Alligator mississippiensis: one gene and its partners. The protein of the gene in region 3 interacts with the protein of the main gene of each other region in a biochemical or structural test. Links are inferred from orthologs where the notes say so. Each region holds a gene or a part of one and is shown on either strand. Other genes may lie near its edges.

What was found.
Region 1: the proteins of BMPR2 (region 3) and BMP4 form a complex in vitro, tested with the Homo sapiens proteins (2 studies listed by BioGRID). The link is inferred for Alligator mississippiensis from reciprocal best matches to the Homo sapiens genes BMPR2 and BMP4.
Region 2: the proteins of BMPR2 (region 3) and GDF2 form a complex in vitro, tested with the Homo sapiens proteins (2 studies listed by BioGRID). The link is inferred for Alligator mississippiensis from reciprocal best matches to the Homo sapiens genes BMPR2 and GDF2.
Region 4: the proteins of BMPR2 (region 3) and GDF5 form a complex in vitro, tested with the Homo sapiens proteins (2 studies listed by BioGRID and IntAct, with this or other methods). The link is inferred for Alligator mississippiensis from reciprocal best matches to the Homo sapiens genes BMPR2 and GDF5.

Annotation. Positions count from the first base shown.
Region 1 is NC_081825.1:300,000,480-300,007,562, forward strand, and holds the start of BMP4 (bone morphogenetic protein 4), read left to right. Parts: upstream 1-4,075; 5' UTR 4,076-4,453; coding exon 4,454-4,838; intron 4,839-6,010; coding exon 6,011-6,855; 3' UTR 6,856-7,083.
Region 2 is NC_081829.1:20,541,668-20,549,408, forward strand, and holds the start of GDF2 (growth/differentiation factor 2), read right to left. Parts: upstream 3,010-7,741; 5' UTR 1,134-3,009; coding exon 788-1,133; intron 1-787. UniProt on the Homo sapiens protein: Potent circulating inhibitor of angiogenesis. Signals through the type I activin receptor ACVRL1 but not other Alks. Signaling through SMAD1 in endothelial cells requires TGF-beta coreceptor endoglin/ENG.
Region 3 is NC_081827.1:171,408,484-171,415,473, forward strand, and holds the start of BMPR2 (bone morphogenetic protein receptor type-2), read left to right. Parts: upstream 1-3,982; 5' UTR 3,983-4,564; coding exon 4,565-4,640; intron 4,641-6,990. UniProt on the Homo sapiens protein: On ligand binding, forms a receptor complex consisting of two type II and two type I transmembrane serine/threonine kinases.
Region 4 is NC_081832.1:37,892,157-37,899,008, forward strand, and holds the start of GDF5 (growth/differentiation factor 5), read left to right. Parts: upstream 1-3,833; 5' UTR 3,834-4,107; coding exon 4,108-4,741; intron 4,742-6,852. UniProt on the Homo sapiens protein: Growth factor involved in bone and cartilage formation. During cartilage development regulates differentiation of chondrogenic tissue through two pathways.

The DNA of each region.
Region 1 (7,083 bases), on a different chromosome or scaffold from region 3:
GGCCGGGAGGGACCTCGGAAGATCATCGGGTCCAGCCCCTGCACCAAGCAGGCTGGGATCAGACATTACTACTGTATGCACAATCACCAGGGAGGGCCCAGGGGCTTCTGTGCAGATCCTTTTCCAGATTGGAAAAAAAAGAAAAGCAAAGTGGGGGGTCACTCGGTTGCCTCTGCAGAAAAAGTCAACACATACTGGTAGCATGCAGCACTGCACTGCAATTTGCTCAGCGATCAGCCTCGAGACTCCTCAGATATTGATAGGAAATGTTTTTTAGCAGGGTTGGCAGGTGTATTTGTATGGACGAACCTGTCATCTGATCAGCCTCCTTCGCAGAGTGAAACCCCAACAGTCTCCCGGGTCGATCTCCGGGAAAAGCTGTCAGTCCGGCCCCGCGGTGTGTCCAGGTGCGGGCGGTCCTTGGAAGGCAGCTCAGCGTGGGCCGAGGGGAAAAGGCCGTGCACAAAAAGGCCAGGCCAGCTCTATTGCAGCTTGCAGGCAGGTATGTGGCCAGTCACCTCATCTGAGCCTATTTAAATGGGCTGAATCCAGGGGCCAAAATAAGCCGTCTGCACTGGCCTGTTGACAGCCCTCTGCACTGGCACTCGCTGCTTTGGTCTGGATATGCATCACGTTTGCATGGGCCAAATTCATCCCAGGTGCAACTCCACGCTGACATCAGAGGGAGTGACATCAGGATGCGTTTGCCTCCTTGGGCTCGAGGAAGCGCTATTTTGGCAGGAAAATATTCCAACCCCCTCAGTAAAAGGTACACTGTCTCCATCCAGGGTTATTCTTTTTGTGGTTTGGGGTTTATGTATTTACATCTTAAGGAATCAAGTACTGGGTTAAGCAGCAAAGCTTTCCCCGTGACTCATGCTCTTTAATAACTAATAAGCGGCTCCAGCACACCAGGACTGCTCACAAGGGCCTGTGCCACACCGGCCTCGGCTGGATTGCTATCCCAGAGCGGCCTTCCTCTTACACAGCGTTGCATAAGATCGGTGTAACCCTTTGCAAGGTGGTTAAGAGAGGGCAGCTCGCTAGCGGGGGATGCAAGGTGCTCTGGAAGGGGATGAAATTGCTAGGGGAGAAACGCTCCGACGAAACGTGGAAATGGGGTGTTCGTCACCAATGTGAGCGAGGTTTCCAGGCACAGGGGGTGGAACATCGGAGCTCGGCTCCCTCGTGCCATAGCTGTTGTGGGTCGGTTGCTTTTCCCGATCTGGAGGACTGTGTTAAAAGCCGGACACTTACATAAACGTTGTTTATAGACTGGAAAACCGTCAACGAAAATGTTATTTCACTCGAGGAAGGTGCACAGTGGCCCCTTGGAAATTGTTTTCTGTTGTTAAACCCCCCCCCCCCCCCCAAAAAAAAGCAGTGTCCAGCATGGTATAGTTGAAATGGTTATAGCAGTATTTTTCCCCGTGTTGATTAATTCATAGACCAAATACCTTGCTAACAGATGTTTCTCTTAAACTTATGCTGGTTTAAGAATAACTCAATGTCAGCACTGCCTTTATCTGCATATGCCTTTCCAGTAACATTCACAGGCATTTATAAGGCACGGGCTGCGTAGAAACAAAAGAAAGCTGAATGCAAAAAACCGAACGGATTTTACCCAGAGCTTCATCTCAGATGCCAGAAGTGATTGGGGCACCATGCCTGCACAAGTTTGGGGGTTTTTTTTTCCCAGATGTGTTGGTTGGCAGTGGGCATTTTTGATCCTGTTTTTATGGTTAATTTATAACACCTAGCCATGAAAGACCCGAACCATAACACAGCAGAAAGTCCCTCTGACTCCAGAGATGGGAATGAATGTGTGATACCTATGCATGTGCAATACAAGAGAGCAGTACAGCCGCACCGGGGTTAGCTCTCAGCTGACCTAGAGTAGCAAGACCAAGGTGTCTGGAGAGGAAATCACCCAGGATCACTTCTTTGGCCATGTTTCTGGGTCTTGCAGTTGGCAGACTTTTTTTCATCCTGTGTGAGAAACAATGTCAGAACTGCCATTTCCTGGGTCAGGCAAATTTGGGTGGGTTGGGTCCATCTCGCCCTGGCTCTTGTCACGCAAGGGCAGAGAGTGGATGCTGGAAGGATGAGAGAATTGGGTATGAGCAGGGTTTTTTTTCTTCCCCTCTATTCCTCTCTCTCAGCCTCCAGCATTTAAGGTCTAAGAAGTTTTGATGGCGCGTGAGGTGATATTCCTGAGGGGACGCAGAGCAGCAGTGCCTTAGAGAACGCCGTAGGTAGAGTTTCCGTCACGGCTACCTGGATGTGCCTCTCCGCGGAGGTGTGCGAGCATCTGCCAGCTCTCCGCTTCGGGAGCTGCACTCTCCCTCCCCTGCTCCTCCGTCACCTCCAGCAACCGAAGCTGCGGGTTAATTATAGATGGGTCCCAACCAAAAGCTCACACGCGAACAGCCTCGAACGCCGGGGAAGGTGCGATGCGAGTGTGCAGTGTGTGTCTGGCTGTGTCTGGGACGAGCTGGAGCGCAGCTCTTCAGACCCAGGCACCCCCAGTCTTTGGAAAAGGTTGGCTCAGGATTGAAGTCTGGCGTATGGACCCCTAGCCGGCCCTCTGCCCAGGCATGCCAAGTTAGCAGTTACGGTCATGGGGAAACATAGATACCCACATCCCCATGGCCCTAGCTCTGGAGGGCTGCTTCCCCGGCCTGTCCACATGCCTGTGGACTCTTAAAGCGCCACTGGGCTCCATCACTAGATTTTGGGGGACGACTAAAGAGAAAACAGTGAAGGCACAGACGCATGATGAGTGCGGCCAAGCAGCGCCCACGACCCCTCCAACGTGGCCAAGGAGCACAGCAAAACTTTTTTTTTTTGCAAAATATACCTGTACCTCTAACCACCCATCCAGCGATCCCTCTGGTGCACTCGCCAGACCAAAACACACTTGACACTTTATTTATTTTTTTTGCAAAAGTATTTAATTCTGCATATCTTTATTCCTAATATATATATATATAACTGTACCTGTCACAACCCATCAAGTGACCCATCTGGTGCACTTGCCAGACCAAAGCACACTTGAAACTTTTTCTTTTTGCAAAAATATTTATTTCTCTATATATTTATTTCTAATTGTACCTCTAACAACCTGTCAAGGGACCCCTCTGGTTCACCTGGCAGACCAAAACACACACCGACAGTCCCTGCAGTCCCGTTGCACAGTCCGCCCCCGGCCACCCACCCCTCCCCATGCCCCTGCTATAGTTCCTGGTCCTTGCAGAGGGTTTGCCTCTGCCCAAGCCCATGCCCCGCTCCTCTGCCCCCTATAAGCTCTGCCATTTCTTTCTGTCGTAGCAGAGCGGAGCGGGCAGAGGAAAGCGGCTTGGCGGGGGGCAGGGTTGCCAACTCTGAAGCTACGCCAGGAGGTTTTTTTCATCACATGCCATTAACGACTCGACATCGGGAAGGCAAACGCACGCGCCTACAGGCAGTCCTCGGACTTCCGACACAACGGCTTCCCGAAACCCCCCCGTCTTAAATCGAAACGTTGTCGCTCGGAACCGATTTTCTCATAAGAAACAATGTTACAAATGGAGGATTGGTTCCTGAACCAAGGCCCCGATACCGTTTTCACCCAAAATACTCTTTTGTACTCAGTCCCTTACAGACGAGGCGTATCGCTACAGTCATGTATGTCTACTGCAAACAGCAGTCGTATGGATTTGGAAGGACTTCTTGGAGCTGACTTGGCTGGACTTTCCGAAGGGCTGGAGTCTTGTCGGGAGTGCCGGCCGCAGGTTTCTCCGGCAGGCTGGTCCGAGGGCGCTGGGACAGCCGTCCTGCGGGGAGGCGGGCGGGCGGGCGGGCGGCGGGCGCTGTCAAGCCGCAGCGGAGGTCAGAAAGTGGCTGGAGCGCGGAGAGCTGCAACTTGAAACGTCGCAAGTCGAGGACTGTGTTTGAAACCCCCCCAAAAGCGCGCACACACACGCGCGCACACACACACCCCCGCGCACAGCACAGCGCAGCGCAGCGCAGCGCAGCGCAGCGCCCCGCCGGGGCAGCGTGCCGGGGTCGCGGGCGGGCGGGCGGGCGCGACGGGGCGGCCGCGGAGAAGCCCCGGGGCGGGGCGGGCCGGGGCGGGGACGGGGCCGGGCCGGGCGCTGATGGACGGCGCCGGGCTTCACGTGACTGCGGGGCTGGAAGAAAAACAGAGGCTGTCCGCGGGGGAGCCGCAGTCCCGAGTCCCGGCCGCTCGCCCGCCCGCCCCGTCGCGGCCCCGGCGCCGGCCCCGCGCCTTCCCAGCCGCCCGCTCCGCCCTGGCCGTCGAGAATCATGGACTGTTTCCCCATGCCTTGCTCCCTGGCCGTGAGTAGCCCCGGGCCCCTGCCCCCCGCCGCCCCTGCCCCTGCCCCCGCGGGCGTCGGGGCCGCGTCTAACCCGCGCCTCTTCTCTCCCCGCCGCCGGCCGCAGAGGCACCATGACCGCTGGTAACCGCGCGCTGATGGTCCTGCTGTTTTGCCAAGCGCTGCTCGGGGGCGCCAGCCATGCCAGCCTGACCCCCGAGCCGGGCCGCAGGCAGCCCGCGTCCGGAGCCGCGCCGGGGCCGCGGGGGGCGGCCAGCCATGCGCTCTTGCGGGGCTTCGAGGCCACGCTGCTGCAGATGTTCGGGCTGCGAAGGCGGCCCCAGCCCGGCCCCGCCGCCGTCGTGCCCGCCTACATGCTGGACCTCTACCGCCTGCAGGCGGGCGAGGACGAGGACGAGGACCGGGACCGGGACCGGGACCCGCACCGGGGCGCCCGCCTGCGCTACCCCGAGAGGTCGGCCAGCCGCGCCAACACCGTGAGGAGCTTCCACCACGAAGGTCAGTGCCCCCCGGGACTCGCCGCCTGCTCGCCCGCCTCCAGCCGGCTCCTCCGCAGCTTTGGGGAGCCCCCGGGGTGTCCTGGCTCCTAACCCAGGTCCCAGCGCCTCCAGCGGGGCTTGCAGGGAACCCCCTGGGCTGTCCCAGCTCCTAACCTAGTGCCTCCAGCGGGCTCTTGTGAGGAGTCCCCCCAGGCTGTCTCAGCTCCTAACACAGCACCTCAAATGGGCTCTCCCGGGGCTTGCAGGGAGCCCCCCAGGCTGTCCCAGCTCCTAACCCAGGACCCAGCACTTCAAATGGGCTTCTAACCCGGGACCCAATGCCTCAAACAGGCTGTCCCGGGGCTTGCAGGGAGTCCTCCGGGCTTTCCCGGCTCCTCACCCAGGACCCAGCACCTCAAGCGGGCTCCTCCAGGGCTTGCGGGGAGCCCTCCTGGCTCCCAAACCCATGTCCCCCCTGGCTATCCAGCTGGTACTTGCCTGATCCCAGCCCTCCCCAGACTGTGGGTTTGCAGCTAGGGAAGCCGGTCCCTGCCTGTGTTTTTTGCCCTTTAAAAAAAAATAAAAAAAATCAGGACTTGAATGTAATCCTTACAGCTGCGCGTTTGTAAGGTTGGTTCAATGGGGCCTTGTAATCCGATCCAAATGTTTCCTAGCGGATGTTTCTTTTCCAAAGTAAATCTGCGTTATTAATCCGCCAGCATCATTACGGACTTCAAACTTACTTTCTTTCCCCCCACCCCCCAGTAATGGGTTCAACAAGGCAGCGCTCTGTGGGGTTTTCTCTCTCCTCCCTGCTGTGATGGCACAGCCTTTGAGAGAGATCCTTAAGAGGGGGGGTTGGAGAGCAGTTTTCAAAAAACTTTAAAACTGAGCTGCTTGAAAAGCTAAGCAGCAGGGTCCAGTGCTGTTAACTAGGGTTTTGGAGCGAGTTGTGCATGTGTGTCTTGTGTCTGTGTGTGTCCAGGCAGGACGGGGGGGATAGTGCCACCCTGGGTCTTTGGCAGTGCAGTTTTCTGGGCGTGGGGGGTAAACCGTAGCTCTCAGCCAGCAAGGCTCAGAGCCCGAGTGGCCGGGTGACTTGTATTTTTGACTTGGGGGATTGATCTAGATACCCAGAGGTTTACGTGCTTTGCTCTTTTGCCCCCCTTGCTTTCCCCCTGCCCCCCCCAGAGCATTTGGAGAACCTCTCCGGGCCCAGCGCCGCCCCCCGCCTTCGCTTCGTCTTCAACCTCAGCAGCGTGCCCGACAACGAAGTGGTCTCTTCGGCGGAGCTGAGGCTGTACCGGGAGCAGGTCTGGGAGCAGAGCCCCGGCTGGGAGAGGGGCTTCCACCGCATCAACGTTTACGAAGTCATGAAGCCCCTTTCCGAGGAGCGGGGGCAAATGATCACGAGACTACTGGACACGCGGCTGGTGCATCACAACGAGACGCGGTGGGAGAGCTTCGACGTGAGCCCCGCCGTCATCCGGTGGACCAAGGACAAGCAGCCCAATCACGGCCTGGCGGTGGAGGTGGTCCACCTCGGCCAGACGCCCGCGCATCAGGGCAAACACGTCAGGATTAGCCGATCTTTACCTCAAGGGGACGGGGACTGGGCTCAGCTGCGGCCCCTGCTGGTGACTTTCAGCCACGATGGCAAGGGCCACGCGCTGGTGCGGAGAGCCAAACGCAGCCCCAAGCACCAGCGGCCCCGCAAGAACAAAAAGAACTGCCGGCGCCACGCGCTCTATGTGGATTTCAGCGACGTGGGCTGGAACGACTGGATCGTGGCCCCGCCTGGGTACCAGGCCTTTTACTGCCACGGGGACTGCCCCTTCCCTCTGGCCGACCACCTGAACTCCACCAACCACGCCATCGTGCAGACCCTGGTCAACTCCGTCAACGCCAGCATCCCCAAGGCGTGCTGCGTGCCCACCGAGCTCAGCGCCATCTCCATGCTCTACCTAGATGAGTATGACAAAGTGGTCCTGAAAAACTACCAGGAGATGGTGGTGGAGGGGTGCGGGTGCCGCTGACCCCCTCGCCTTCCCTCCCCCACCCCCCTCTCCCTTCCTTCCCTGCCCTCCTCCCCGGACCCCAGAACTGCTCGTTCCAGCCAGACTCTAAACTAAACGTTCACCTTGACCTTATTTATGACTTTTATGTGCAAATGTTTTGACAATAATGATCATATATTTTGACAAAATATATTTATAACTACATATTAAATGAAAAAAAAATAAAATGAGTCATTATTTTAAAGG
Region 2 (7,741 bases), on a different chromosome or scaffold from region 3:
TGGTGACCCTAGTTCAAATCCCAAGCTATGTTTTTTACTTGGCTTTTCTCCTGATAAAGTATGGGAGGAACACTGCAAACAGTTGTTCCATAAGAAGGGATAGCAGTTTTAAAAAATGTGAAAGGCTGCACTAACCTAAGAGGGATAAAAAGTGTTCTCCATTGTCACAGAGGGCAGGACACAAGACAGTGGGTTTATTGCAGCAAAGCAGTTTTAAATTAAATCTTAGAAAAAAGGCTTCCTAAAAGTAAGAAACAAAGGAAAACAGAACAAGCTGTCTAGGAAAGCTACGTAAACTCCTGCATTGGAGGTTTTTCATTAAGAGGCTAGATAGACATTTGTCTGGGGTGGTTTAGAAATAAACATACCCAGCATCTATGCAGAGGGTTGGATGAGGGGATTCATGGGGTCCCTTCCAACCCTATGGTTTTATGTTGATGCCTCACGTATAGCTCCAAATTTTTCAACTCAGCCCTAATTCTCTAGCTTTGAGACAGATAACAAAATAACCCTCAATTTTATAGATGTGGTGCCTCATCTGATTCAGTATGAGAAGGAGAGATTGTACAATGTGAAATCAAAGAAAAGAACTAAAAGCCATTATGTTTCATGTAGACCAAAAGAAAATAAGGAGCAGAAGAAAGAACTACAAAACAGACCAGGGCTGGGATTGGTCTAAGGAGCCTATGGGAGTTAGGTATGAAGCTTCCCCCGAATTTCAATAGGAACTTAATACCCAACTCACAGACTGCCTTGTAAATTCCTGTCTGTATTTAAGATGTCATACCTTCAGTACTGAAGCTCCGCACAATGTTGGATGCAGGGATGGAAGACTTGTCCATGGCATATCTGTTGTACAAATCAATCATGAATTGCGGTGGTTCTTCTTTGGTCCTCTCTTGTGAAGGAACCCTAGATAAGTTCAAACTCCTCAGTAAATCTGCCTTCATGTTCTCCAGTAGGCTTCTAAAATTGAGATGCGTCTCACCTTCCATCTCTCCCAGCTCACCAAAGTATATATCAGAATCCTCCGTAACTGATAACTTGCTTCTTTCTTCCAAGGGTTTGCCTCTTGTCAAACAAGCAATGATGTTGAAAATGGACAATGCAGCAAATGTCCCCAAATAGTTCATTTTCCCTATGCTCACTTTCCAATGGTGAAGAAAAGACAGGGCTATTCCAGTTGACTGGAACTCGTCTGATTAGAGCCAGAAGAAAGGGAAACAGAAGGCAAACAACTGAAATGCCCTTTGCAAATCACTTTCTTGAGCTCTTTTGCAGCCTGCTTCAAACCACAGCCTCTTGTCAGTTGTCAAGCAGATTGGTTGTACACTTGCCCTTATCTTAGCCATTGATGCCATGCTTCAGCTTCTGTTATCTAGCAAAGCTCTTAGTTAATGAAGATTCTATAAACATCTGACAAACACATATGGCTTATGGGAAGGACACTGCATACTGTAAAGAATCCACATTTCACTTCAGGGTCATCATTGCTTAATTATGTTTTTTATCATTTCCTTGCCAACAGGGAGAGGTCTAAAGAGAAGCATTTTGGGGGTGGAGAATAAAATTGTGTTTCCCTAAGGAACTACAAAAGCTGAAAAGAGGGGTGGGGGTTAAGAACAAAATGTTTCATTAGCAGTTAGCAAACATTGCCCTCAGATATTTACCCCAGTCCCTTAATTTATTGATCCAAAATCACTCTTCTGGTAGAACTCTGTGCTCTTGCAACACATGATCTCACAACATTGCACACAACCTTAAAATTTCCTTCTTTTTATCAGCTGAGAGCTATTATTTGTACACAGTGAAATATCTGTTTTGTATCAAGTTTGCTTCAAGTTGTTTGTAGATTTTCTATTTTCAGTGTGCATCCTTTGATGCATGGAGAAAAACAGTGTGACTTTATAGCACGTTATGTAATGTATTTTCTTAGATTCATGCACACGAGGTTGGCTAAGTTGGTCCAAGAACAACCAGTTATTGCCTAAGTGATCTCAAAGTGAAGATAAAACTCAGCCTACTAAACCAATGTAGAAAGTAAATGGTTTCTATGACTGTAACGAAGATTATCCATGGATGTTATTGTTTTCCATATAGATCTGGGCCAAAGTAAAAGAAGTGAGATTCGTTAGTTGTGTTTTTTGTATCTCAGGAAGTTAAACTAGTTATCTATATAGCATATTATGATTTGATATTTAATTTGATTGAACTTAACCATCCTAAATGATCTAATCTAATATTATACAACCAGTTTACTTAAACTGCCTTTGTATGATTTTTTAAAGTAGAAATTAACCTGTAGCATGCGTGGATGCCATACCATCTCATTGATACTAGGAGAGCTCAAAACACCTACGCAAAATTACCGCTAAATTTTATCCCTAGTCATTCTTTTCCAGTTTTTTAGCAAAGCATTAGGGGTATGTGAAATGGGCTGTATTCTATTTGGATTGGCCCGAATCAGGACAGTGATTCAATTCGTTAATTCGGATCACTGTCCCCAATTTGGCCGAATCTGAATCTGAAGATTTGATGCTGATTCGGAGAATCTACGATTTGGACATAGACACAGCTTTAAATGTTTTTTCTACAGACCTCAAGGTACCAGGTGGCTCATCAATGCTGCAATGGTTGGGCAGATGGAGCATCCCACAGGAGCACAGGGGTCCCCCACGTGCTCGGCAGCAAACCTGGAAGTGGACCGGAAATGCTTCTGGTCCACTTCCGGGTCTGCCAGGGAGCACGCTGGGGGCCCCCCCTGCACTCCCCATCTCGGCAATCAGTCACGGGGGGACCCTCCAGACTCAGGAGGCACCAGTTGCTGAGCCAAGCGGGAGCATGGGGTGGGGGTGGGAGGGGGAGGCAGCATCTCCCCAGTGGATCTGGAAGTGGACTGGAAGTCCTTCTGGTCCACTTCCGGGTCTACTGCTGAGCACTCTGGGGACCCCCCTGCACTCCTGTGGGATGCTCCATCTGCCCCACCATCACAGTGCTGATGAGCCGCCTGGTACCTTGAGGTCTGTAGAAAAAACATTTAAAGCTGTGTCTATGTCCAAATCTCTGAATCTTTCTGAATCTGTCCGAATCGATTCGGAGGGTTCCGATTTGATTCAGAGAGATTAAAGGGTCTCCTGATTAAATTTGGATTTGAAGATTTGGCCACCGAATCGGGCCAAAACTCCACCAAACTGAATCAGGGGCTGAAGCTTCACACAACCCTACAGAGCATATCTTCCTTTACTCTGCTTTTATCTGATTTGTCACAGGACACTAAGGTGCCCTGCTCCTAGAAGAGCAGGAAAAGCAGGAACTGCCTGGGGAGAGCCCAAAGAGCCAGGCAGGAGCCCAGATGCAGGTTGCCATGGCAACCGGCTAAGGTGGAAATTAGTCAGCACCTGTACCTGGTCAGCTGGCAGGAAGGGGCAGGGCCTTAGGCCCATATAAACCCAGGCTGAAACTAAGGGAGGCAGTTCTCTGCTGGTGGCTAAGGGGGAAGGAGCCCTCTTAGAATGAGAAAGGAAAGAGGCCTGACTAACCTCTGCTCTGGGTAATGGTAAAGGGGCAGAGCACACCTTTGGTAGCCTATGTTAAGTTATAGCTCAGGGGCTTATGTTTTGTTTGTAGTTTTATAAGACCGGTGGTTTGGGTGAGGCTATTTGGGGAAGAAGGAGGCCTCACTGGGGGCCCACTACAGAGTGGAGACCCTGGTGCCAGAGAGGGCGCAGCATTTGGTGGGGGCACAGACTCCAGCGCCAGAGAGGGCATGGCATTTGGGGTGCACAGACTCCAGCGCCAGAGAGGGTGCGGTATTTGGGGTGCACAGACCCCAGCGCTGGAGAGAGCGTGGCATTTAGGGCGCGGAGACCCTGACACCAGAGAGAGTGCAGCATTTGCTGGGGGCACAGACCCCGGCGCCAGAGACGGCGTGGCATTTGGGGGTGCAGAAACCCCGGCACCAGAGGCGCGGCTTTTGGGGGTGCAGAGACCCCGGTGCCAGAAAGGGCGTGGCATTTGGGGTGCAGAGACCCTGGCGCCAGAGAGGGTGCAGAGACAGGGCTGCGGAGAGCCCAATGTGGACAAGGGACCAAATTATAATGAGGCCAAGGCAAGACAATGCCAGCACCATCTGTGAGGCTTAGGGCATGGTAAAAGGGCAGTTGGAGCCATGCATATAGCCCATAAGGCTAGGGTGCCCCGAAACACCCATTGTGGAACGAGACCCACAAGGGATCTGGGAACCCACAGGGTTCAGTAAGTCCATCAAACCGTGTCCAAGAGGACTTAAAGGCAGCTTCCCTATTTTCATATTTTTCATCAAAGACGTGGAGTGAGAACTGAGGGTGCCCATCGGGCCACATTGGCATGGTCAAGGGGCTTTAGGAGAACACGGCCATCCTTAAGGACCCCATCCCGTGACATGATTCTTCTCCAGTGACATGCAAATCTTGTTTTCTGGACTTGTAGTTTTTAAGGCCAGATGTGACATGAGCTCATCAAGTCTAACCTCTCATTTAGCACAGGGAATAACATTTCAGTGACGTTGCCCCCTGTATTAAGCCAAGTAAATTATGTCCGAATAAAACATAACTTGTTTTTGGCTAAGGCACATCTTTCCAAAAGGCATCTAATCTTGAGTTAAGAGATGGAGAATCCATCACTTCCTTAGGGATTTTGTTCCACTGGGTGATTGTCATTACTTAAAAAAAAATTGTGCCTACTTTAAAATTTAAATTTGTCTTGCTTCAACTTTTAGCCTTTGATCTTGTTATGCCTTTCTGTATTATATTAAAACACCTTTTCATGCATGGTATTTTCTTGTCATTAGGGTACTTACATAATAAATAAGTCACCTCATAGACTTTTTTTCTGATTGAATTCTCTTGGCATGTCTACACATGCAATTAATGCGACTGAATAAACTTTGGTACAATTTGAGCTGGAGTAAGCTAATCCTGACATCACCATCTACACATGCACATAAGCACAGTAATTTATTCCACCTTCAGATAGTACTTGTGTCAGATGGGACTATCTGAGAGTGTAGTAAATAAATCTACATTGACCTAACTGCCACACGTGTAGATGGTGATGTTTTACTGAGCACGTTTAGAGGCACCCTCTGAGTCTCTCTCTGTAAGGTGATTTCTCCACCCATCAAATAATTTTTGTTGCTCTTTTCTATATTGTCTCCAGTGGTTCAATATCCTTTTTAACATGTGGACACTAGTTCAGTATACAGTATTCTAGTGTTCATCCACCAGTGCGGTATACAGAAGTAAAATTACCTCCCAGCTCCTACTCACTATTCACCTGTTTGTATTTAGCAATAACATCACTCTTTTTGCCATTGATTTACCTTCAAAGTGCATGTTAAACTTAGATCATACTAAGGACACTTAAAAAGTGAGCATCCACATGTTAAAACTCATTAATTCTAGTTAAGTGCCTTCTGAGCATCTCAACATTATGCCACTTCAGGAGAGGGTTAACTCTGGCCCATGCTACTTAGAAAAATTTAGGGTAAATTCAGTCTGCTCCACAGAGATAAAATGAGTCCTCTAGCATCCCAGGATGCACTGCTGCCTTGCATCCTCAGAACGGGGATAGACCCCAGGTGTCTTGGCTCTCATGGCCCTGCTCACCAGCCCTCCAGTGTCAAGTCAGAGTTATGCAGGCAAGGAACAGTATTAACTCATAATGTGTAACTGCTTACAGCACATTCTGTTTTTAAAATTGGTTAACATTCCACAGATTTAGTATGGTCTAAATGTAATGTATAACTTCAGCCTAGGCCTGATGTAGCCTTTTGTTCAGAGGTTCTATGAAAATATATTTCCCAGTGAAGTCAATAGGAGTAGATTATATTAGAATCAGCTTCTGGAGAAAGTATTTCCCTGATACAGGCTCTTTCTTATGCTCCATCTCCAAACTACCCCCTTCCCACTGCAATAACTGAAACACCACATTCTAGGGCAAGCCTTCTAAATGCCAAGTGATTTTGGACTCCAAACTTTACACAACTTATGGATCCTGGTTTTCATAGGATGTGTTCTAGACACTGGCTCAAGAACAGGCCCCTTTTAAAGTATCTCAGGTAAGATAACCACACATTAAAGTTCCTTAAATCAATCATTGCTTTTGAAAAATCTTGGCCTAGGCCTTTTCTGCACTATAAAATTGACTGGTATAGCTTTATTGACAGAAAACCTTCCCAGTCTTCCAAGCAGAGACTCAGATTATAGCAGGAAAAATGTCCTTTCGCTGATATGTCTCATTCTGTTTCCTTAAATGAAATAAGTTATACCAGCAAAAGAACTCTTTTGCCTACATAAGCTGTGTCTCCATTAGAAAGGTTTGCAAGCACAGCTGCATCAGTCTGAGGTGTGATTTTTTTTTCTGCAATCTAGCTGACAGCTATGCCAGCAAAAATTTTAAGTGTTGACCATGTTCTTTAAAGTACCCTCGCTGTGTACAGAAGAGGGACTTTTACCTACAAACATATTGAATCAAAGATTTGTGTTTCCTTCTCCTAGTCACCTGCATCATCATGACTTGGAAAGCAAGTCTGTGACCAAGGAACAGTTCAGGATGTAAAATAGGCTCCCTAAGGAAAACAAAATGTAATAGACCAGAACATAAATACACTAGACCAACGTGTCATTCTAGCCAGATGTTAAATGGGAACAAGGCCATGTCTGTGGGAAAAGATGAGTATTTGTTTAGGACAGTATAGGCAATGGTTTAATATATTTTTTTTAAATTGCAAAAAAGGTCTACACTCTAAGCTGTAACTCAGGTATAGCTATTGCATCATATATTATGGGTCTGGTTCTCGTCTTGTTTACACTTATGTAACTCCATCAACTTTAATGAAATTCTTCCATATTTATAACAGTGAAAAAAGAATCAGACCCTATCGGCACCAAAGAATGCATGAGATGCTCATGTTAAGCAAAATGCTTTTGTTTTTAACCTTCTATTTTAAGGTGAGTGGTTTGACTCTCCATAAGATTAACATACTATTTTTTAATATTGCTAACAACACTTATATGAAGTATGATAGTGTTATTACCACCATTTTACAGGTAGAGAGTGGAGGCACATAAAAGCTAGGACCATAAAAGGAGCTAGGTGTCTAAAATGTGATTTAGGTGAGTCTTGATATGTGAGTCTAAAACTTAGAACCTCAAAGCATTTGCTCAGCTGTCACCGAACCCTGGAATCACTTATATTCTAGATGTAGAGAACTAAAGTTCAGGTACTTAAAGTTCTGCTTCTGGACATGCCCTGAAGCAGTTTTATCATGATGGGACTGAACAGTTCAGCACTTGGCCCACCTAAGCCATATCAAGATTCCCAAACTAGGCAGCAATTTTCAACCAGGGTGCTGTGACTTTATGCTTGATACAGAAGTTACTGGGTGAGGTTCTTTGGCCTGTATTATGCAAGAGGTCAGACTAGATGATCATAGTAGTCCCTTCTGGCTTTAATCTATAAATTATATTGTGACAAGCATAGCCTGGACATTCCAAATAAGATAGCATTGCTTTTCCTCTAATTAACAGAATACAACAATGTGTATTTATAGAAAGACATTTCAACTATTTTTAAATACTACTGTACCTTAATTTATTAGCTTTTGTTAAAAGCAACCTAAAGGATATAAAGTATAATTTACAAAAATATAAATCTTGGTTATTTTTTAGTATTTAAACATATTACTATATAGTATGTGTTA
Region 3 (6,990 bases):
TGGTGGAATCAAGGCTCACTCCATGCTGGCCCCCGGCCTTGTCTACCTACTCCCCAGTCACAGAAACTGAGGGATCAGCAACTTTAAATGTTTTACCCCCTGTGCTGTGTGATCTAGGTAAGCTGTGCAGGCTGGTAAGGCAGCACTGTGTTCCCTCATGTAGACACATTGGGCAAATTGGACAAAGATCAACCTTGTCCATAAACTGTTACACATTTGCAAAATGGGTTGTGTATAGGGTGACCATATATCCTATTTTCACCAAGGCAGTCCTGTCTTAAACACCTGTCCCAGGCCTCCTGTCAGTTTGGTCAAACTGATGCTTTTCATTGCATAAAATAATATTTATTATTTATAAAAAACAAACCAAAACTAAACTAAACAAAATAAACCCCCTCTATTTTTTCCTGAAGATTAGATACAAAATCACAGGAAAAATAAACATCCCAGGCCAGAAACATTGTTTATACAATTGCTTATGGGTATCCTGCAACCCTTAAAATCAATGACATTTTTGTGATTTACTTGAACAGCACCAGGTTCAGGACCTACTCTTTCAATATACATTTTATATATATATTTTAACTATCTAAGCAAAAAATGTGCTATGCAAACCATACTACTGAGTTAATTGTTTTAGTGAGCAGGATGGAGCTATCTGCTGTTTTATTGGTTGATATAGTGGGGTGGAAGGCATGCTGTGTAGTTAGGTGCCTTTGCTAAACTAAAAAAGAACATGGCATTTTTGTCCCTTTAAAATAGTTTATATTTTCCCCCTTTCTTGAAGATAAAACTGTTTTGTTTAGGTTATTTCTTAGCAGTTGAAATAAGAGGAAGGATGCTTTTGTGGTTAATGTGTGGTTATGGCTCTGAAAAGTGACAATAAGATGACAATCTCAAGTTTTGTTTGTGTGGAAGTGAGAGAGAATATTGGATATGGTCAGCTGAGAAGTAAAAATTGAATTTTTTGTTTTTCTAATTGTCAGCCATGCAAGCTTGAAATAGGAAAATCAGCCTATGTTGTTGGCATGTGTCTTGCCAACAAAGAAACAATTGGAGCTTAGAACTGGAAAAATGGGTATAACGGAACCCAGGAGGTCATCTAATCCAACTCCCCACACAAGACAGGATCACCCCTTTCTGAGGCAGATCAGCCACGTGTTTGTCTAAACCAGTAGTTCTCAACTTTTTCAGACTCAAGACACCACTCACTAGACTCAATACACCCCTAAGAAAATGTAGCTCTTAGTTTTCACTTGTTTTTCTGATTACAGAAAAATAATAGAGCAGTTTTTTTCTGTTGCGAAGAATTCAGACCACAACGGATCAAAATATTTTTAACACTATGAATTCCTATTTGAAATCTCTGTGAATATCTTGTGAATGGTGTGCAAACCTAGCAGTGTGAATGTTGCCTGGCACTCTGCAACACTCTTGAAAGGATCTTAAATCAACCCGGGGTGTCATGGTGAGCTGGCTGAGAATCACTGGTTTAACCTGCTTTTAAAAACTTCCAGTGGTGGAGATGCCACAACTTCTCTCAATAACAATTCTGTTGATTAACATATGAGCCAGATCCAGTCCATTCAGTCTTATCTCTGCTGGGTTCTGTGGGGTATGAGGAGTGAAAAGAAATAGTTACAAATTTATTATCACTAAAATCAGGGGATTCCATTCTGAATTTGTACATACAGCAAAGAAGCAGCATTTTTGCATAAGGATATTTCTGTAAGACTTAAGGTATTAGATTGGGCTGGGGATCTATATCTCTCAGTTCCGAAATCCTTGAACATGAAATAGAAATGGCTGGAGGGCAAAAATGGCTTTAGTCCATTTTTTAATTCAACATATTTTGGCCTCAGTGTATGTTACATAAATCTTGAGACTGGACAGGTATTCAAACAATTACAGGGAGGCCTCACCTGTGCACAGTATATTTTTAAGGGGCTTTTTGTACCATTCCCTGTCAAATTAATTTAGAAGGTCTAATATAGAGGTCTAATTTTAATTTAGACCTCTACATTTCAATCCCAGTTCTACTAGAAATGGCACCAGAAATTGTTATTCTTTTCAGGTATGCACAATAAGATGACCTATATCTTTAGTGTGGCACTGGTTTGGCTGTTGGTTTCTGTGGAATACTCTTGTGGTTTTCTCTGCTGCCTGTCTGCTTGATCTGTTGCTAGTCCCAAAAATATGGGAGTACACTGGTTTCATCTGAAATCTGGACTCTGTCTGAATTTCCTTCATATCTATGATCTAATTTAATTATTTCTAAATGCACATATAATGTGAAATAAATGTATATAGCATTTAATGTTTCTTTTTATTATTAATGGTGAAAACTATGAAATAATGTGATGATTAGTTAATTTGGAGTTGAAAGGGCAACACTACCCCACAGACAAAAAATGAATTGTAACCAGAGTACACAGGGATATGCAGAGATAGGAAAAAACAAAAGAAGTTTGGCTTGGCTTTTTTATCTTGAAATCATACTCTTGACTTCTATGCATCATGGAAATATTTTTAATAGTGACTAAAAAGTGGTGCCAATGCAGTGAACTGGTGGGGAACATCATTAATGCAGAGATGGAGCAGCAAGGAAGAATCATAGAAAATGAGGGTTGGAAGGGACCTCAGGAGGTCATCTAGCCCAACCCCTACTCAAAGCAGGACCAGCGCCACTTAGATCATCCCAGCCAAAGCTTTGTCTAGCCAGGTCTTAAAAACCTCCAAGGATGGAGTCTCTACCACCTTTCTGGGTAACCTGTTCCACTGTTTTACTACCCTCCTAGTGAGATTTTTTTTCCCTAATATCCAACCTAAACTTCTCTTCCTGCAACTTGAGACGGTTACTCTTTGTTCTGTCATCTGCCACCACTGAGAACAGTTTAACATCCTCTTGTGAACCCCCCTTCAAGGGAAACAGAGGAGTAAGAAATAGAATACTAAGAAAAGAGCGTTGGCAGTGGGAATGTGACAAGAAACACTGCTGTTCCCAGATAAGGAGAAGGGGAGGTCTTCAAAGGTGGTGGAGGCCAGCACTAAAGGTTGAAAGCTGAGGCAGCGTTCAAGGCAGTGGTTCTCAATGTTTTTAGACTTGAAGCATCCCTCAGAAAATGCCAGTGCTTAGTTTTCACCTGTTTTGTGACTACAGAACAATGCAAGAGCAATTCTTCTGTTGCAAAGATCTCAAGAAGCCCACAGCAGGGCACAGTGGTGGTGATGCCACGGATTCCTATTTTAAGTTTCTGGGTTGATCTTGCAAACCCTGTGTGTATGCCAGCACTAACGTGACATGGCACGATGGCACCCCTGAAAGGATCTCTGGGCACCCCAGGGTGCTGCGACCCCCTGGGTGAGAAGCATCGGCGCCAGGGGCCGAGCAAGGGGTGTTGCTCTATCGGTGCTTGTGCAGGATGGGCGAGGAACAGGAGATTTTAAGTAACATCTTTTCCTGGGGGCTTGGCTTCTGAAGAAACCCGGCCTGGCTTTTCCCTTCTCCCCGCGGCGGGAGGGGAGTCTCCGGCGGGGGTTTCGCGGGGGCTCCCCACACTCTCCCCCTGTAGCAACAATGCACGTGTGACCATCGCCCGACACGATCATGATTAGATTCCAATCCAGGCGGCAGCTCCGCTGGAAAAAGCAGCCGCACTTTTCCATACGGCTCTTTTAAGGCGCGGGGGGGGGGGGGGGGAAGCGATGCTGCTGGCAGCCGCCGCCCGCTGTCTAGGCGCCCTCCCACGCAGCTCCCGCCCAGGCCGCGGTCTGGCAACAGCGCGATTGTCCCCAACATGGAGGTGCGGGCGGCGCGCGCAAACCTCCGGCACACCGGCACGGGGAGGGGAAAGGGGCGGTGCCACTCGACGTAGCCCTTCTCTACGCACCTGGAGGCCACCTCTATGATCCGGCGGGGGAGGGCGAGGCACGAGACCCGGCAGGCTGAGGGGGCGGGGCCGGAGGCGGGGCCAGGCGGCTCCCCGCGGCCGTTGCGCTCAGACAGGCAGTTCCCCGTGGCTCTCCTTTGTGTCTGGGCCGGGCTCGGAGCGGCTCCGTGCGAGGGGCGACGCCTGTGGCCCCCTCCCCCGGGGCTCCGGGCGATGCGGCGGGGCTGAGCGGGGGCAGCTGCCAACGGAGGAGGCGGGACAGGGCCCCGGGCCTGGCGCTGCCCGCGACCCGCCGCACCGCGCCCGCTCCCTCCCGCGCGGCTGCCGGGCCGCGATGCCGCCGCGGGGCCGGGCCGGCGCCTGAGGGGCCGCGCACGGAGCTCGGGCCGGGCCGGGGGGGGATGCAGAGCCGCTGTCGCGAGGGGGGCGCGTCGCCGAGCCGCCGCCGCCGCCTCGCGGGCACGGGCTGACAGGCTGAGGCGCGGGGCTGCGCGAGAAGCCGGCGCCGCAGCCATGCGGGCGGGAGCAGCAAGGCAGGCGGCTCCTGGCGGCTGCCATTTGCCTTGCCAGCCGGGCGCGTGAAGCGCTGCCCGGAGACTGGGAGGGGACCCTCCACCGGCTGCATCGATCCGCGTTTTCCTTCTCCTGCGCTGCCTCCTGCCTCTGCCCCCGGGATGCCGGCCTCACTGCGGCGCCTCCTGCTGCTGCTCTGGCTCTCCGGTGCCACGGCGCTGCTCGGCAGTGCGGCTGGTAAGTAGCCCCTGGGCGCGGGCAGCTAGCCATTTTGGGACGGGGAAGGGCGTGGGGTCCCCCAGGGCTTCAAAGCGGCAGGGGGCCCTGCTACAGCATCCCCCTGCCCGCACCACATGCCCCCATGCCCTCAAATGCTCAGCTGCAGACCAGACCCCCTTGGAGGAGAAAACGGGCTTCATTGTCTACCTGGACCCACCCCTCAGCTGGGCTTTATTTCACTTTGTCTGTTGTTGGCTGAATGGCTTTTTCGTGTCATGGGGGGAGAGGAAATACAGCCTTTTTATTCTGAAAGCCTCGTCCTTGGTGATGTGTGACATAGGAACACATCTAAGAAAAAAGAAAAAGCCTATTGCCAGCAGAGCTGTGCGTGCTTGCTGGTGGGATCTTTGGGCACAGCCATTTTTAATTTTAACAGCCTCTGTGATTTGAGAGGCATTACATCTACAAGGGCGGGTGCATTTTTAGGGATATCTGCTAGTCCACCGCGCCTTTTCTCCTGGGTGTTTGAAACCCAAGTGAAAATTTTTCATTGTTACCTGCGATCACAGGGCGATAAAACAGAAAGCTGGTGAGGAAGCTGCAAGGTGTGTGAATACAGTGCATGAAAGATTTACTTTATAGCAATCGAAATGCCTAATGATTTGGAAGCGTCGTTTTCTTTATTTCAAGCAGTTGAATCCTTTTTCATTTTTTTTGAAGCTAAGGTTTAGAGGAATAGAAAGAAGAGTTTTCTATGAATTCAGAAAAGCAGTTGATATGGCTCTGGCCTTGTTGGCTTTTGGTCGTTGTATCGGCTGAGAATGGAGGAGCTCTTCTCTGAAGGGTTTTTCAGCTTTTATTAAGTACTAATGCATATTCCTCCCTTGTGTATGCTCTTTCGGCAGCTTTGGAAGACTCGTGGCACCGCGATATCTGTCCTTATATTCAAAAGCCAGTTTAGAATACCCAGTCTTTTCAGCATGATTCTTTAGTCGGCTGTGTATCTTAGTCACACGCACAAAGAATAATTTTTCTTGTGAAAACAATAAGATTAGGATAGTTGCACACAACTTTTCACATGAGTAGTTTTAAGTTTGAGGTGTTTTTTTTGTTTGTTTGTTTTTTTTCAATGTTCAAACCAGTCACTCTGTGAATCGGTCACATTTTTATCAGTTTCTCCATTGTGGATAGTCCGCGTTCATTTCACTTCTCTTTTTTTTAAAGATCTTGAGGGAACTAGTGAACTGAATTGTAAGTAGGCAACATTTGCCTGCATCAGCATGACCTTTGACTGCATCATTGATATTACAGAAGGATATATATATATATATATATATACAGTGTCTGTGTAGTAATTTAAGAGGATTTCTTTGAAGAATGGATCTTGGAAGGTCAAAAGCTTTGGTATGAATATGTATGTATGACCCTAGAATATCACATTATCTAAACTTGTCCCTTAAACATGAAAGTTGAAGTGTAGTGTTTTATTTAATTAGTCAGTAAAACTTCAGCAGGTTGATATTTCTTTGTGCTGATGGGCGTGAAGGATTATTGAAGGAGTGAGCACTGATTTGAGCTAGGCAGGCAATGGGCACCTACTGCATATAAGCCTACTCAGTCCATTTTGCCAATTGACCTCGGTTTTCACCCGTTAAGAACATTCTTGCTATTTCTAACTTGGGTATGTCTTGTAAAGAAACAATAGCAAAGCCAGTATTTTTAGTCATCTTGTGATATGTATGACTAGGGATTTGCTTTTACATTATGAATTTATTAAAAATATGCATCCAACCTGGGCTTTAAATGTTTTGTTCACAATTGATGGTTGCTAATGTTTTTGAGACTGGGCTAAAGTAATTTTTTGAAAGTTTGATTGTAAGTTTTAACTGTGAATATTAAGGAAAAATACTGATACATGGGAAACCACTTTAAGGTGAAATTCTGCCCATTTATGTACATGAACGAACCCTTTTATCCTCTGAAGTAAAACTGTAATTCATGTATAGGTGCAACAGTTTAACCCTGTGCAGATTTGAGATCCTCAATTAACATGCTTCTGCATCTCATATAGGAAAGGCTAACTCAGTGGCAGGGTAAATTCAGTATTGATAGTCATGAAGCAATGCACTCTGGGCGGGAAACCTGAATGTATGATTTTAAGTTAACAGGACTAATACTGAAAAAATATGTAGGCATCTTTTGTAACATCCTTTCCTTTTTGACTATGCATGGGGAGTGTAAAGGAAAATATTATAGTGTCATTAAAAATAAAGGATTAATTTACAATCTGTACAGAATCCAGGAAATATGGTGGATAGGGATTTTCTTTATGCTGAACATTTGAAAACCTTGAGACTCAATTACGCTG
Region 4 (6,852 bases), on a different chromosome or scaffold from region 3:
AGTAAATATTGCTAACCCAAGAACATTTTTAGTGACAATTTGCAAACTTTTTACTGACGAAACTTTTTTACTGTCACGTTTTCACTGACATATTTTGTGTAATGTAAATGTAACTCTTCTACTACGCCCTACCTTGCTTACAAAACTTCAGTTAGAAGAGCTGGGTTCAAATTTAGGGTTTAACACCAACCTTAGTAAAAAAAAAAATAAAGTTTGGTTGTCAGTGAAAAGTTTCTAGTAAAAAAAAATCTTGGGTTGGCAACACTGCTTGATTAAACCAATGGTTTATACCATGCTACCTCCACCCACACACCCTGCATAATGCTGCTTCCCCCAGCCTACCCCTCCCCCCCCATCTTATCCCTGGTGGTCCTGCTTTCCCTGTGCTGGCACAGGCCCACAATGAAGCCTACCTGCAACCCAGTAGCATTACAGGATGAGACACAGTGGCAGCAGCATGTGGCTAGAGGTGGGGGGCCGGCGGTGTGATCTACACAACCCTGACAACTGGCTTCCTGCAGGGTGCTATGCTACCACTCAGATAACAGGAGGCATTGCTCTACCCTGTCAGTCTTTCAGTCAAGCTCTCGCTGTCCAGCTTCTTTCCAAGGGGGAGCTTTAGTCAAGCAGACTTGTGGTAGCTTTGTGTTTTTAGAGATGGCTCATATTTATTTATAGACTTGAGAGGCAGGCATTTATAGCCTGACTTTTTTTACAGACAGCTGGCAACCCTGGCTCCAGCATTCCTCCTCAACTCCTCCCAGTTCAGCCAATGGAGGCAGTCTCAGCAAGGATGTAGCTGATCACAGACAGATGAGGCTACACCCAACTCTCCTTAAGTGGCCTGCCACCCTTTGACAGACTAACACCCTCCCCACCAATATTCAGGGCCACTACCTCACTACTCAAGAACCAGTGTCTATTTGTGTCTGTTCCCTCTAAACATTTTGCAGTCCCCTGAAGGCAATGTTGCCTTTCTTTCTGGCTAATTCTCAGCCCAGTCTTTCTGGATGCTCTGTAGTTTAAACATAGGATGGTAGCTATTCTAGGCCAGGTTTCAGCGAGAGTCTCTTCCAGATCCAAGTTTTGAGGGTGTTGGTTCTGAGGACAGCAGACCCTGTTAGACATTTAGGCTGCTACCTTCCGTTTCCTAGATTGCTGATGTTTTAGTTCAAGTATTAGCAGACACTGGATGCATTACACTGTCCATCTGCTCTTGTGACCTGGAATCCCTGCATGTTGGCTCTTCATATTGGAGATTTGGAAGGGCAGACTTATTTGGGTCCTAGTTCACTAGAAAAAGGCTATACTTCAGTTCCTGTAGGTTCAGCAATGAATATTGTTCCAGTCTTTCATTCAGAGAGTTTACATAGGGGTCTTCAGACAAGTAGGGTGATGGATTGTAGGGAGGGGGCTGAAGGGATACTTTTTTTAGTGTTGTAAAAGCTGATGTGCTGACATTTCTGACATGTTCTTAATCAAACAGGGCAGCTGCTGGTAGTGTAAAACGGACCTGGGAGCATGATTCTGGAGCTGCAGGCCACAGAACAAAGGTCAAAGGTAGCCATTAAGGGGCACAATGCTTAGAGACCAAAGCATTAGTCAAAGTTCAGTTAGACCAAATGCCTAGGAGCCAATGTCTAGCCAATGGTCCATAGATGACAGTGTGCCAGAAGTCAGGAATCTCATCCAGGAAGCAGTAAGACACATGGTCTGGGGATTGTAGGGGGACAACTATGTAGTGACAGTAGAATCTCCAAGCTAGTCAAATGAGACTCTCTTCAGAAGGCACTTATAAGCCCTTTTGTTCCTTTGCCCCTAGATATTTTGCTCTTTTTCTCTCTGTTGAGTAGGTAAAACATTCGCTGCCAGATGAAAGTAGGTGAGGAGTGGGGAGTGACTGGATTCATTTAGTATTTTGCCATTTTTTGGCAATATTAATTTTCTGTTGTGAATTGTGTGCTATATCCAAGAACCAAGGGAGCCCTTTCAAATTAATTAAATGTGTAACTATATAAATATTGTCTTTACATTGTCTTTACTTTTCTTTAGAAAACTAGCATTTCTGCTTTGATATACAGAGCTTCCATTTGAGCTGCCAGAGGTCTATGCTTCTGTTCAAGTGAACTCCAATCCAGATCCTTTTACTAACTTGTGAGACTATGTTCCTGGTGAAACCAATAATAAAACTGTAATTGGGAGTAAAATTAAGCCAATGCCAAGTGGTTTGGAAAAGCTACCTTCAATATGACAATGCAAGTCACTGAACCTTTTCCTGAGGCTCAGATTCATAATCTGTGCAGATAATGGTACTTCCATTTGCAAAGTGCTCTGAGACCCTCAGTTTGAAAGAGCTAATATTGGCAGGACATTATTTGCTAGGGTATTTCAGGATTTCTGTTCCTGGTCCTAGTTCCAAGCTGAAAGTACAGGTATGTGTGAAAAATAAAACAAAAATATCCAAAAATGATGGCACTTCTTAGCCTCAGGAACAGTTGAAATTAAGTTTTTTGAGACTGAGTTCAGCTTCAGTCTGGGAAGGGTGAGGGGTCCAATCGATTTTTAATTGATCCGAGCCTGTCCCTGCATTCCGAGGGTTCAGTTAGAAAAATAAGAGTTAATTTTCTGTAGCTTACGGGAGAGATTTGTTTGCTCTATCTTGTTTGCATTATCTTTTATATTTAATTGCCTGTGGACTTTAACATGTAGGATAATTTTCATTTGTAAGCATCAACAAATACATCACATGCTATTTCTGTGGGGTTGTATTGTGTACATGAATCTTTAAAACCTTTAAAGCGATGGTTTTAAACCTTTAAAACTTTTTAAATAAAAAGAACACATTTATATTAAATCATTTAAAATATGAAATTTGGATTTTAGAATCTGGTCTCTCTGGCTCCCTCAGTGCTTTAGCTTGACAGAACTCTAGTTCTCCTGCAGGGGACACTGCTGCTTAACACTGGAAGAATTTGTTTGATAGGTTCTGTTTCAGGAAATATATTACACAGCTGGGGCAAGCTAAAGAGGCACGGGGATGCCGTCTGTGAGACAAAAGCAAAAGGAAACATTCCCTCTGTATTTAATGGAGCTTCAGTTTATTTGTTCAAATATTTGCACCAAACTGGAATTAGCTTTACTTTTGAACAGCATAGCAATTAATGCCCCTAAAACTAGTATGAATGTATGTGTTGTATATGTATGAAATTAAACTTTATCCTTGTTTTAAAAATTACCTTTGTTGGCAAAGTCCTTCCATCGCCAAAAGGCAAAGTGAAGTCACTATTCCAATTCTTAGGAAAAGATTCCAACTCAGAATGGTTTTAAACATCTCTTATGAATCATAAGATGTTTTAATGTATTTATTCCAAGGGACTCTGTAAAAGATTCATACTGTTGATCTTACAATTTGTCCTGTTTGAATATGAAGTTCATCTAAGGCTAAGGTAGAGGTCGTATTGCCACTAAATGGCATCCTCTGGAGTGTTGATCCTACAGAGTTGTTTCACATGAGGCAAGGTATGACTCATGCTAATGGAAAGGGTAAAGAAGATTTTTTAAAGAAATATATTGCAGTTAAATTAGTTTAGACAGCATGACATCAGAGAGTAATTAAATAGGTTTTTGTTAGAATTCCGTTTCCAATTCCTGAGTTCAGGTTTGTAAAAGATTTCTGAGCACCTGCAGGTTTCTGTGTGAAATATTTTCACTGGAAAGGATTCAAAACGTAAAAAAAAAACTTTTAGCACAGAGGCAGCATTACGCCATTCTTCCTTTTTGGAAAAAAAGCCCCTTAGATTTAAACAAGACTCCTTCAAGTTTTCAGTCAGTTTTACAGAAGAAAAGGGGAGGTACACTTTCACTTTTCAAGAACAAGTTCTTTTTAGTTGCTAACTGAAGCCAGGGGAGAAACATACCTGACTAAATGTGCATTTCCACTATGGGACTGGATACAGATATTAGAGAAACAGATTTAAAGTGTTTTAAACTTAAAAGACAGCTATTTCTCCTGACAGTTTTTTTAAATTTTTTTCATGTTTTCTTCTGCCAAACTGGAGGAACCTTTTCTGATTTTTTCTTTAGTGGCATTCAAAGGAAGACCAGAGGATGAAAATCTTGCACTTTCTCACTTTATTGCTTTGGCATTTGACTTGGTTATATCTGGATTTAGTTTCTGTAGTGTTGAGTAATTCTGAAGCAGGTCAGAGTAATCCTGGATCCAAATTAGGATTGCTAAAAGCAGAAGGAAAAGAAAGGAATCCCTTATCAAGGGCAGGTACCTTTAGGACTGGAACCCATGGATACAGTGCTGGGACATCAAAGGCTAGAAGTAAAAGCAATACTGTTCAAGCTGGAGCTCTCCTGTCTAAGAAGGATGAACCAAAGAAGATTCTCTCTAGAGCAGGGACTACAGACACAAAGGTAGGACATTCCCCTAACAGACCATCTGGAGTAAGGACAGTGACTCCAAAGATTCAGAATGTTGGCAGCAAGGCCTCACTTAAAAAAACTGGCACCCGCAATACTGATGCCAGTTCTTACAAAACCAAGAAGACTAAAGAGCCTCTAACACAAAGGGAATCTAAAGAGACTTTCAGACACCCCCCTATCACACCTCATGAATACATGCTTTCCCTGTACAGGACTCTCTCAGATGCAGAGAGAAAAGATGTTAATGGAAGTGTAAAATTGGAGGCTGGACTCGCCAATACAATAACAAGCTTTATAGATAAAGGACAAGGTAAGAAAGAAGCTAAGGTGTAAGTATATGTGTATTAATGAAAGAAATGCATAAGTGTTCACACAGCTGTGTGTATGCATTTGTATATCCATAAAGTTACTTACAAAATAATGGTAATGTATTAAAGGCAAATAGCTTGACTGATTTAAATGTAATCAGATTTACATAACTCAGAGGCAATTTTGTCTTTTCAGTTTAAAATCGTATAAAATTCACCTGGAAACAGATGTGGATGTTTGTATACTTATCAACCAATGCATTTAGGGGCAGATTTTCAAAGGTTTTAGGTGTCTAAATAGGCGGATAAGTGCTTCTGAAAATCTCACTACTGTTTACCTACTAGGTACCTGACTTCCAATGGGACTAATAAATCTTGGTACTTCTGAAAATCCAGCAAGGTTCTTATCTTTAACTTTAAGTGTATAAATACTTTAGAGATCCATCCCTTAAGCTTTTACATAATTAAATTACAATAGTTGATAAACTTGCATTTTATTATATATTAAACAGTTCCACAGGCATAAGATGTGCTAAAGACAGTGATGATTTCTTTGCTTTTCAGTGTATCAAAAAAAGACTTTCTATATAAAAACAGCAGCCTTATATGTAATAAGGGGAGAGCTGAGGGTATGTCTAAACTGCAGTCACAAAAGTACTTAAAGTAGTATAAAGACACCTGAGCTAGCATGGCTCCTGTTAGCAACCTAACTAAAGAAATTCAGAACCAGCTAATTAGGCTAAATAGCTTCTGTGACTTCAGCATAGCCATTACCTGAGACTCTGTGGCACAATTCTTCTGTTTGTGGAGAATGAGCTAGTATAGTGCATGCACATATCCCACCAAGAAAAAATGAAGTTCCATTCCTCTTCTTATTGGTCAGGTAAGCACTCACAGGGGTCAGATGTTAACCTTACTCAAGTTGGGCAATGAGCCTAATGCTGTTTTCAGTGAAATCAGCATGAATTTTCTCATGAACTGGATGGGACCTCTAGACCACTGCCCCAGCAGTGCCAAGGTGGTCACTGATCCACTTTAGAAGGGAAACTCAAATGGGATTTAATTACAAACAGTCTGGTTGCTGTGGAGGAGTAGATGCTAATAACATACTAATACCCTTGTTTAGTCATGTTTCTTATTACTAGGGATCCTAGGTTTCTCTGATAAAAATCATAAATTCTCTGGTAAAAAACCCAAAATCCGTGATTAAAATGAAAGGACCCTCACACGCCTTCCCCCCCCACCCCCTTTGGCCCTGCTTAAGCCCCTCACTCCCTCCCCTCTGGCCCTGCTGGAGGGGGCCCCCAGCTGCCAGGGCTACGGGGCCAGAGACCCAAGTCCACAGCCCCCTGCCTCCAGGAGGAGGTGGCACCTGCTGCAGCAGAGCAGAGCACAGAACCCAAGTTATGTGTAGGCTGCTACAGGCTTGGGTGGGAGTGGGGTCCAGCTCCCCACTGCTGTGTGCTCCTGGGGGGGGGGGGGCAGAGGGGACCCATGCCCCCACATCTGTGTGCGGGGTGGAGGCAGGCACAGGCTCCCCACCCTGCTGCCCTCCCCTGGGGTCTCTGCATCCCAGTGGGTGCGACCCAGCTCTGCAGGGCAGCGTGGGGCCGTGCAGGAAAGCTGCTTGCAGCTGTGAGCTCTGCGCAGCCCTAGTGAGGCATCCCCTGCGTGCGTGGCAGCAGTGAGGGCACAACCCCATGCCACCATCCACACAGGGGACACCTTGCTAGGGCTCACAACTGCAAGTAGCTTTCCTGCTCTTCCCTGCAGCACCAGGTTGCAGCCACCAGGCTGTGGAGGCCCCAGGGGAGGGCAGCAGGGTAGGAGCCCAAGCCTACAGTGGGCAGCCTGTGCCCCTATCCTGCGCACAGATCTGGGGGGCATGGGTTCCCCCTGCCCCCTGGGAGTGTGCACAGCAGCGGGGAGTTAGTCCCACCCCGTGCCCACCAGACGAGTCACCCACGGCTCTGTTCCACTCCCCCCCCAGGACCCTGCAGCTGCACATTGCGGCCCCAGGTCCCAAGCCCCATGTGCTGCCCATCTGGGCAGCAGCCCCAGCCCTGCCCAACTCCCTCCTTATGGGGGCCTCAATCCCACCTGCTCCCCACTT